Mytilus edulis: one gene and its partners. The protein of the gene in region 1 interacts with the protein of each later gene in a pairwise test. Links are inferred from orthologs where the notes say so. Each region holds a gene or a part of one and is shown on either strand. Other genes may lie near its edges.

The links.
Region 2: the proteins of tyrosine-protein kinase Abl-like (region 1) and paired box protein Pax-6-like interact in binary tests that used the Caenorhabditis elegans proteins (3 or more experiments, as listed by UniProt). The link is inferred for Mytilus edulis from reciprocal best matches to the Caenorhabditis elegans genes abl-1 and vab-3.
Region 3: the proteins of tyrosine-protein kinase Abl-like (region 1) and DNA repair protein RAD51 homolog 1 interact in a two-hybrid assay, tested with the Caenorhabditis elegans proteins (2 studies listed by BioGRID). The link is inferred for Mytilus edulis from reciprocal best matches to the Caenorhabditis elegans genes abl-1 and rad-51.

The regions. Positions count from the first base shown.
Region 1 is NC_092345.1:30,627,016-30,630,779, forward strand, and holds the start of tyrosine-protein kinase Abl-like, read right to left. Parts: upstream 2,472-3,764; 5' UTR 2,237-2,471; coding exon 2,119-2,236; intron 1-2,118. UniProt on the Caenorhabditis elegans protein: Functions downstream of migratory protein mig-13 and is involved in Q neuroblast migration during larval development.
Region 2 is NC_092350.1:1,506,967-1,510,730, forward strand, and holds the start of paired box protein Pax-6-like, read right to left. Parts: upstream 2,192-3,764; 5' UTR 1,742-2,191; intron 1-1,741.
Region 3 is NC_092346.1:57,670,595-57,674,358, reverse strand, and holds the start of DNA repair protein RAD51 homolog 1, read right to left. Parts: upstream 2,214-3,764; 5' UTR 2,006-2,213; intron 1-2,005.

The DNA of each region.
Region 1 (3,764 bases):
ACTACCCAAATGTGGAAATAAGTATTGTGTATAAGTTTCATAACAGTTAGTTGAGGCAAACTTAAGTTAGAGAACAGAAATGAAAAATTCAGGAATTTGTATAGGGCATACATGTAACTCTTTAACAGTAAAAGTGATGCCACCCAAATTCAAACTTGATCTGTGTTTTGTGGTAACAAGCATTTCTTGTTTGAATTGTTTTACATTTGTCATTTTGGGTCCCTTTATAACTGACTATGGGGTATAGGCTATGCTCATTATGCTCATTGTTGACAGCCATATTATAGTTGTTAATTTCCGAGTCATTTGGTCTCTTGTGGAGAGTTGTCTCATTGGCAATCATACCACATTGTCTTTTTTATATTGTGCATAAGTTAAATATCCTATTTGATTTAGGGAAACTAAAGTTAAAGAATGGAATAGATAAATTCAGCATTTTTATCATATGTAAAGGTACACAACTCTAGAAATATTCAAGTGACACCACCAAAATTCAAACAATAAACATTGTGTAGACTGTAGAAGTTTCATAACATTTGGTAGAGGCAACCTAAAGCTAGCTAAAGGAAATCAATTTTGGGACATACAGACGGACAAGGGTAAAACTTAATGCCCGCTTCGCTATGGCAGGGGCATAAAAAATTTTGAATGGTGGCATCAGACATACATGTATTCTAAGTAACCTCAAAATCTTACGGGAATGTATGTGATGACTAGTTATTCACTGGGGGAAATCGGCTGTTTGTACTCTGTTACGAACCGCCCAATTTGGCAGATGGCAGTATCTGTAAGATTTTATATTTCTCAAATACTTTTGATCCAAAGCATTGACAATAGAGAAAATTAGCAATTGTCTAACCCGAATAATTCAGTCATTGTATTCTGCTTACTACATTAACGCCTGAATGCATAGACAATGAAAAATCTTCAATCAACCATTCGGAATTAGCTCGGGATTTACTTATCTCAACAAAATTTAGCTAATAGCTGATTGGTCACCTCAACTACAGGGCACAATTCAAAATCCAGGATTCATGAAGTTTTTATCGTGTTAGGAATTCAGGCCCTCGCAAGTAGGAAAGATCAATTACGGGGAGGGACTGTTGAAGGCCGTACATTGACCTATAATGGTTTACTTTTATAAATTGTTATTTGGATAGAGAGTTGTCTCATTGGCACTCACACCACATCTTCCTATCTCTCATCTATCTATATAAAGATACCAGAGAGAGATACCTATTGACTGTTTGGAAAGCTGCCTTGAAGTTCTCGACTGTATTTGTGCGGTTTTCAACTTAAAATAATTGAATGCTACATGTAATTGACTGGTACTCAAATATATTCTTATACTTCACTTATACCTGTTGTCATCCATCATCGATACTTTTTTAGACTGATAAAATTTATCACCAAACCCTCCAAAGTCAATATAGTTTATTCCATATTTAATTTTTGGGAGGGATCTTCGTAGGGCCGGATCGAATTGGGCCGGATCAACTTAACAGGGATAGAACTTAAGACTTTGGCAATGGTAGCCCACAGCTTAAATTTTGTGGTCCACATATATAGTTCTATACAAGAAAAGCAAAAATTTAAGTAGCCCAAACAAAATTTTAGGGGCCATTGGCCTGTGGGCCCCTGCTAATTTCATCCCCTGTGACTATGGGCCGGATCATTTTGGGGCCATACCGACCGGATACCTTAGTTCCAATCTATTTTGTTCTTAACAAAGACAGATTTCTTATATACACGACATGTAGATTGTATTATATGAAGAGGAACATGTTTCAGGTGTATGACATCAAGAAATAAAGCTGGGTTACTTTTGAGGTTTTAAGCTTCAAACCAATTTCAGACAACTAAATAAGTTACATTTCCTCACAAAACTCCTTCATGCATGACCATGTTACTTCTGGCTGCCTTCAAAAGGAATTGTTTTCAATTATAAATTTGAGCAAATGCAATGCATTACAAGAACACTTTTTCTCTAGTAAAATGAATATGAGGTTCGTTTGCCTGTAGAGTTTTTTGTAAATTATTTCAAGAGATAAAGTAAATCTTCTTATAAATCTCGAGTGGAGATATGAGTCATGTCCTATAAAGGGTTCACAAACTTACCAGTCGGATCTGTAAATATAGAAGGATTTCCGGGTGATGGTCGAGACTGATCTTTTGTTTTACTCTTAGGTTTACTTGAGCTACTACTTTTTCCTTCTTTTCCTTGTTGTGCGCCCATTCTTCATTTGAACAAAATAAAGGGTGTATATTAGCCCCCTACACCGCTCATGGCACTACAAATGCTACGCTACATTATTTGTACTTTTAGGTCATGCTATTATATACTCAGGAAACATTATCGATAATTGCATAAGGGTTTTATAGTCAAAATTAATCAGATTTGTATATCATTTCCTTCCCTTTTCGGTGGCCGCCATATTGTCTAATTCCAGAACGAGTCTATTTTTCCGAATGAGGTGACCTCATCACGAAAATGACGTAGCATCGCAAATTTCGGGAAACCCCTTCTAAAAATAAATTTGACGAAAAAAGAGATAATTTACCAAATATGGTAACTAATCAAATCATGGTTTGACCGAGATAAAAGTCGATGTCAGTGTACCAGACAAAATAATCTGATATTTTATTCTTAGGAAGCGTTAAAGAATAGAGAAAACTGGTATATATATGAACAAAATATAAAAACCGTAGACCCAGGTAGCACAAAAACATTTTATTGATATTTTTAAAATATCTTGCAAAATATCACCAAAATATCATTCAAAAACATGTTTTTGACGTGATATGTCTGGCTGTACTCATGTGAATAGCATATTTTCTGGAAATATTTGTTCTGAATGTTTAAAGAGCATTATTTTTAAATATCTTGATTTTATATTGAAATAACATAATTTTGATATAATTCAGTTTCAATTGAAAATATCCAGACAACATCTTTCAAACATCAGGACAAAATATTCTTCTAATGTCTAGGATATGTTTTATTGATGTCTACTTAATGGTTTTTTTTAAATACAGTCTGTCAACCTTATTCTCATTTTAATAAAAGTTAAGGCATTGGATTGAATGATTATAAGTCAATTCATAAATTCTACTGGTTAATATTATAATAGAGTAGGAAAATTCACTCGTGTAATGATGTGTTGATTTACAAGAAATTGAAAAAATGAAAGTATATTCAAATTGTATTTGTTGTTTTGTGCTGGTTTTAAATATTTTTTGTTTGTGCATAAAATTATTCAGATATTTAAATGACTACACAGATTTGAAAATGTTAGATAAAGAGAAGGAAGAGCACATTTTTTGTTAGAACATTGGAATAATATAATTTTCAAGTATGTGGTACAAAGGGGGTGAGATAAGTACCTAATACGTTGGCATATTGTTGGCACAATGTTGGCTTATATTTCTTTATTGGCATGAAATATCAATCATATTTTTTATAAACACTGTTTAAAAAACTTTGAATTAGGCAAAATAGAAAGAATTTTCTAGTTCTAGGCACAGATTATCGTAGTCCTATTTGGTATGACTTTATCATTTTGATTTTTTACTGGGTCCTCAATGGGGATTATGCTCTTAGAACACAATCGTTATTCGCTAGATAATTTTTCTTTTGACTTGATTTGAATTTTCATTTAAGTTAGATTAGAATTGTGAGGCAAAATAATTGAGCCGAGCGAAGCGAGTCGAAATTTTTTTTTGGAGGGTATGAAATGAATGGTGCAAAATCCTGCATTCTAGGC
Region 2 (3,764 bases), on another chromosome or scaffold:
AATTTTAACTGAGGAGTTTCATATTGTTTTGTTAATGATTTTTAAGTGTTGAATGTTTGTGAAGAGTATTGAAGCTAAAGATAAATGCTATTGTTAGTTTAACTTAATTTAAAAAAAAATTAATGTAAAAAAAGCAAATTTAACCGAATTATAGAAATGAATGAAAATCATTTGATTTCATATTTTTTAAGAAAAAGATGTTTATATAAAATTATTTTACCATTTTTATTCGCTTCAACATATAAAAATAAAATAAATTTATAATCATTATTTTACAGGCGAGTTAAAAAATATACTTGAAACAGAAATCTTTTTTTGTAATCTGCAAATAATAAAGGAAAGAATATTGTTCCTCACAAAGTAAAAGATTTTTTATTTTTTCAACAATAAAGTCTTTTTTTTAGAAGCGTTCTATTTATATAATTTTTGTAGCAAAATCGAGATATTTCATTATAGAATATTTTTGTGATTTGTATACATATTTGTGTTTCCCTAACTATGATACATGATTTAAGAACTACAAACTGTGTGTGCTAAGCCGTCGGATACTAATACTGCTCCCAGTTAATATTTCTCTAAAATATGGATATGATTATCTTATGATTAATCCAGTTATTTCCGAATACATTACAGATAAAGATTTAATATTTTCCTTCAGGCCGATAATCCGTTTATCTTCAAAAAGCATCATGTGTTTTGAAAATGACAACTGTCAATTTCATGCCTGGTAAATTTCACACAATGTAATAAAATAAAAACAAGCAAAATTTTTATCCATTTTATACTATCAAAAATGTCTGAAGGGTTAAATATTATTAATACATTTTCAATACACGGATTTAAGATTGAGTACACTGGGCGCCGTGAAGGCCCGTTAAATTATTGTGACTTATAAAGTAAAACCTAACTAGCTATTACTCCAGCAATCATAACTCTACAATGAGAGGAAATAATAAATATAGAAATAGATACAGAAAATAAAGTTTACATTTTATATTTGTTATATATTGTGTTTACATAAGGATGTCCATTCCAGAACTTAAGTCGCTGTAGGAAGAACTAGGTACTCACGAATTACATACATAAACTGTCGTTAAATAGTAGGAGAACATGCAACAAAATGTTGAGAAATATCTTTGACCGACTGTTTAAAGATTAGTGTGACATAACTCTATGGTGAATTGGATATATAGATTAAAATATAATCTGTAAAATATATTATTTATTGCATACAATATCCAGTTTACGATGGTATAATTGTTGTTTATTTTTTTTATCTTAGAATCCTTCAAAACCTCAAATCAAAATGTGAAATGTTTTAGATACACGTGTTGGTATGTAACTTGCGTGAAAGTTTATTATTTTATTTTTCTCTCTATTTCCAAAATCAGCATCTTCAATCCGGACTGTTGGTCAGTCTGTTGGTTAAATTGTTAGTTTTTCCTTACATAGACCACAGTCAGAAGAAAAATATATGTCGTATCATCGTAAACAATACAACATCGGTCAGTATGGAATGTTTGTAAAAAAAAACATAAATAATTGTCAAAAATAATTTCCTAATGTCCCACAAATAACTAAAAATTATGCATCCTTTATATGCACGATATAACTTTGAAACGCAGAGAGGAGATGAAAACAAAAAGAATGAGTTATCTAAATGTTAAATGAAAAATGACCAAGTAGAAAGGGGGAGGATGCTATTTTCCAAAATTTTAAACAATTATTACAATTGACTTACCTGAAAATTTTGAAAAATTTTGTAGTTAATTGTCTAGTTTCCACAATGGTTGTCCCATTCACGCATCAATTACAAATTGTGTCCCTCCGCTGAAGATAACTTATTAGATTTTTCACGATTCAGTGATAACGTCTTGTTTGGTAAATTCCTCTGGACAGTTAACACACGTGCATTTAGTTTTCAAAACATAACTAGTAATTGTCAATGGCGACTGCTTACATATGCTTTTAAAATGTTATAAAATGTCTGGGTTAAAATTCCTACTTTTGTCGAGCGAAAAGAAACAGTATATGCGAAGTTACTGCTATATAATGTTATAAATCTGCAATCATTCTTTAACGAATATTTCAGGGCCGATTGCTTTTTCCACTACTTTGGTACGTTATAACGCCTGATTTAAAACTGCCACCTCTGTAGAGAAGTTCTTTTTAGCCATGAATTCACATATTTATTAAATCATGAAAAATAGGTGGAGCTTGAATAATTTCAACCAATCATTTTACGACTTCTACAACTATGTTAAGCTTGAGCAATCAGAAGTGTTTAAATCAAAATAAGATTTATGAAAAGATGAAATTATAAAATATAATATTGCTATCGGATTGAATTATTAAAATACATTATATCCAATTGGGCGGTCTAGTGAGAAAATACAAGATGCTGAGATTGGCTTGCTACGTGATAATGAGAGAATCGAATTTGTAGTAGCCCAATCATAAACATCCATTGCTTTTAAACTTCTTAAATGTATTTTAAACAAAAAACGAAGATTATTTTTGGAATTGATGAATTGATTTTTGGATTAAATAATTTTCTGATCGAATGTAATTAATTTCGTCATTAAATACCTGTAAGTCTTTGATGGTTGTCTTTATTAATTGACGTATTTTTCTTTTGTTTCATCGTTATTTATTATTAAATTGCATGTTTTCGTTGTAAGATTAATATTTTTTTCTTTTTATCAACTTCTATTTTAATTAAAATAATTTGAAACACGTAGACTAATTTATTAATGTGTACGAATTTTCCATCAATTTCATTTTAGTTTCCGATAAACATAAAATAAAAGAAAAGAATTATGAACACAAAATAATGTGTATTTTAAAATTGGAAATTTGGCAGTGACGTACATGTTTTAATATTTATAAACAATACATCAAATATCATCTAGTTTTAAAATTCATTTGAATTTGATAATTGTGCATATATTTATTTGAATATGTTCACACGTCCAAAACGTTTGTGAATTGTATGATATATTATTTTGTGTGATATTGCTGTAATTTGTGCATTTAAAAATATTTTTGTGAGACAAAGTAAATAGAAAACATCATAATATGAAGCTTGTAATTTATATAAAGAAAGAATAAGTGCAAACATATAGATATATTGTTTTAAAAATTTATTCTCTCGCAACATTTTCTTCAACTATTAATAACATTTTATATTTTCGTCGATTTATCGCGCTTAATAAGTCATCATAAGTTCTGAAATGTTTAACAATGATTTATTAATTAACATATCTGTATTGAAAAACTTATTTTTGTTCTTTTATCTAGTCATTATACCGTTTTCCCAAAAGAAATGAGACATAGAATGTGTAACCTCTCAAAGGAAATAAATATAAAAAAGAAATAAATAAACTAGAGGTAAAATAATTAAATCATTAAAAAGCACAATAGCATGAAATAAAATTCTAAATATAGAAAAGCGAAATGAAGTGTTCTACAATCAAACTTTTATATTTTTTGTATTGTCAAGTTTGTCAGAGGAAAGTAAGAATCGGAAACAAACATGGAATGAATTAATTTAGCCTTGATTTTTAAACGTTAAATATTATACATTATAGATAGAACAAGAATTGTTTTTTGGATACCTATGTGTCCTCAGCATAAGGTTTTAATCTAGAGAACTTTATACATATAAATATACTTCATTTTCTATTTTCTTTAACACCAAAAGCGTGCATATTCTTCTATTCAACCAGGAAAATTCTAAAGAAAACACGAATATTATCTGTTTG
Region 3 (3,764 bases), on another chromosome or scaffold:
TGTGGACATTTCATTATCACTGGACTAGTATATATTTGTTTAGGGGCCAGCTGAAGGACGCCTCCGGGTGCGGGAATTTCTCGCTACATTGAAGACCTGTTGGTGACCCTCTGCTGTTGTTTTTTATTTGGGCGGGTTGTTGTCTCTTTGACACATTCCCCATTTCCATTCTCAATTTTATTTCACTTCTATCAATACCATTCGCTAAAACAAATCTTTTTTTATTATTTCCAATTTGCATATATCCATTAATTTTGCTGATTATGGACCTACATGTACAATAACAACAATACTTTATTTTAAGACTTTAAGGGTTACACAGTTAGCTATAAAACTAATCTTTCCTGAGGCCCTCACCATAGAAAGGCATATACAAAAATGCAAACATATACATGGCATAAATTTGTATAAAAGTCAAGTACAATGTATGATGATAATGTTCAATACAACTTGATAAAAAAAAATGTTATAAAAAAGTAAACATGGTGAAGTTATCATAAAATTTCATATAAATCCTACAAGAAATGTGAGATTGCTTTCAATGCAATTTTTCGATATAAATTACATTTAAAACAGACTTAATATATTCCTGGCAAAAAAACGACTGGCACTGAAAATAAAGCATTTTGTGTTATTGAAAATTCAACTTTTTATGAAGACAGCTGATACCAGATTTGATGTTGTGCGGGTACTCCTGTGAATGCCCTTGTTCCAATTGTTATTGTTCCGTCAAAGTGTTTTGTTGTAGGTGATGTTATCTAACGTCATTTGTGCATTTGTTGGGCATAAAATATACAAATGTCATGATCAGTACATTGTACATGTACACTGAGGTAAGGAATGAATATGCAAAATTTTATATGTTGATAAATTTCATATGTCTCGGACTGCTTTGATAACTGTTTTTAAAGATAAAATTAATCTACTTCTTATGATAGGGTTGAATCTGTACATAAGAATAAAGACAGGGGTTTGAAAAATGTCAAGCAGTTATTTTAAATAGCACTAATACTATTTTGTCTGTGACTTCCAGATATTTCTGCTCTATTAAATAGTCATTGAAATATAGCTCTGACCAATAACAAAGTAATTGACAACTTTCGAGTTCGATGCATTTCCGTCAAAAACTCTGGTTTTAGTGAACATCATTTGTGCGTTTAGGGGCGTCGTCACTTCCATTCCAATGTTGAGCGAGTGGTTGGATAATTCTATATTCATTTATGTACGAATTATTCATAATTTGGCAAATTGAATTCTCAAAATTGAAAATCAGCACTGCTGTCATTAGGGAATTGTCATTAAGTACCTACAGAACAACCATTATTTCTAGTTTATCCTGTACAATGACGATCACTAAGACGCTTGATGAACGTAAATAGTGCAGGGATACAGGCGATCCCCTCTATCTGGTTAATGACGTCATAAAGGCGAGCATAATAGGGCTCTTCACGGTTAGTTCGGCCATATTGGATAGGGGGCAGATTTTTTGGAAGGAGGTGGAAATGGTATGAAAGTGTGGGAAATCCTATGTGTGTTTCCAAGCAACAGCTCTGTTTTAATGATGTTTTCCCGTATTTTTCACACCATTTTTACCTCTATTATGAAAATCTGCCCCCTATCCAATATGGCCGAACTAACCGTAAAGAGCACTATTGACCAGTTTTTTCCGGTGACGGATGAACTTGAAAGTGGTCTATTGTTTTTCAAAATTTGGTTTTAACAAGAGAAGAAATAATTCATCACAAATTCATGCAGTTACATTTTTTTAATAAATATTGTGACAAGGGAGATAAATCTATCAGTTGTTTTAATCAAGGATTTGTATAGGATTAGATCAAATCCTTGTTTTATTTTTGGTAATTCTTGCCATTCTTTCTTATCCCTTTTAACTAAGAGAATTTTACTAATTTCGAAAAATTATATATTCACCATATCTTGCGTATGTTTGTGTGTTCAACTATAGAGTATTGCGTCTACCCAAATCTGAAAATAAAGTGCCACTCACTGAAAATTTACTGGCTGTCGCCTGTACACTTAATGCAACACGCTTCTTCTTGTCTAGCTTATCTTTAAATTAAAAAGTAATATCTTATAAGAGGTCGAAGTTTAATTCTCTGTGTTTTAGTTAAACTATTTAGTCATTTGTAAAAGTTTTCCACCAATGTTTACAAATCTAAAATCAGACGTCCCGCCACAATAATACGTCATTTCCTCTTTCTTTAAAACTAACTACCAAAAATACAATATAGACCAAAACGGCTGGTAGATTTGTCTCCCTTGTCACAATATTTATTTTAAAAACTGAGTCACCACATTTTGAAAAACAGAGTTTTTGACTTGCACACGAAAGGCTACATCGATCATGAAACGCAAGTGACCGCAAATGATACTTCTATATTTACTAGAGTAAAAGAGGGACGAAAGATACCAAAGATATCAAACCAGAGACATATATACACATGTGTATATATGTCTCTGATCAAACTCATAAATCGAAAATAAAATGACAACTCCACGGCTAAAAATGAAAAAGACAAACAGACAAACAATAGTACACATGACACAACATAGAAAACTAAAGAATAAGCAACACGAACCCCACCAAAAACAAAAAGTGTTGTAAGAAAATGTTAAGGTGGTATGGGAGTCTAAATTAAAAATGATAGAATAAATTTGTTCATATACTTTGCCAAAACGTAGTATATATATATTGACATATATTCAAAAATATTGTGAAAATGATAGTTTATCACGATTTCTTCAGGCTACAGGTTGTGACAAAATGACACATTTTTTTTCACAGATTAAACAGGAAAAAAATCATTATGTGATTATAGGAGCTGAACTGAATGATAACTAAAATTGTAAAATAAAATACGAGAAGATAGCTTTAAGGAAATGCTTTGATGATATCAAAAGAAAAGATTGGGTCACCGTGCGTTTTTTTCCAGTTAAAATACAAACTAGCACGTTTCATGTAGATTCCTTCAGAAAATGCACTATTTCAGAGTTATCTCCCATTAAAATGCTAATTTAAAAACATAAAAAAATCAAGCAAACTGAAATAATCTGCACTTGTAAAAGTATTAATAATTACAGAGACATATAATATAGTATTATGTGTCTCTGATAATTATAAGTTTTAATCTTATAAAGGAGTAGGTCCGGTAAGGACCGATTTTGGCCTTCAAATTTCAGGTTCATCTGACGAAAGATTTTGACCACTTTTTAAACACTTTTAAAATGTCTATTTTATTTGAATTATTTAGTTTATGTGAAAGATTTTAACAGATTTAGTCATTAAAAACGATCCGATTCAAGCTCAAATATGAAAAATCTACCTAATATGCCGAAAAATGTCACTTTTCAGATGGTTTTTGGTAAAAATGAAAGTGGCCGCATCCGTGTTCATCCTCAACCTTTATATATGTTATGTATTATCATAAAATACAACTAACATTTCAATATTAAGGATGAACACGAATGCGGCCACTTTCGTTTTACACGAAAACCGTCTAAAATTTAACTAAAATGCTAGAATTATGAGGATTTCAGTAATTTAGCATGACTTAATGGTGCTAGTACCGGATATATGTGCATTGTATTGTCAAAAACGGCCCATATTTATGTAGCAGAAGCATTCTACTGTTCAATAAATAACTAAAGGTTTACATTTTAACAATTTTGTAAAACTGCTATATTTTGGGGCCAAAAAGGGGTCTTACTGAACCTACTCCTTTGTTCTTTTGAATGGAAATTAACAG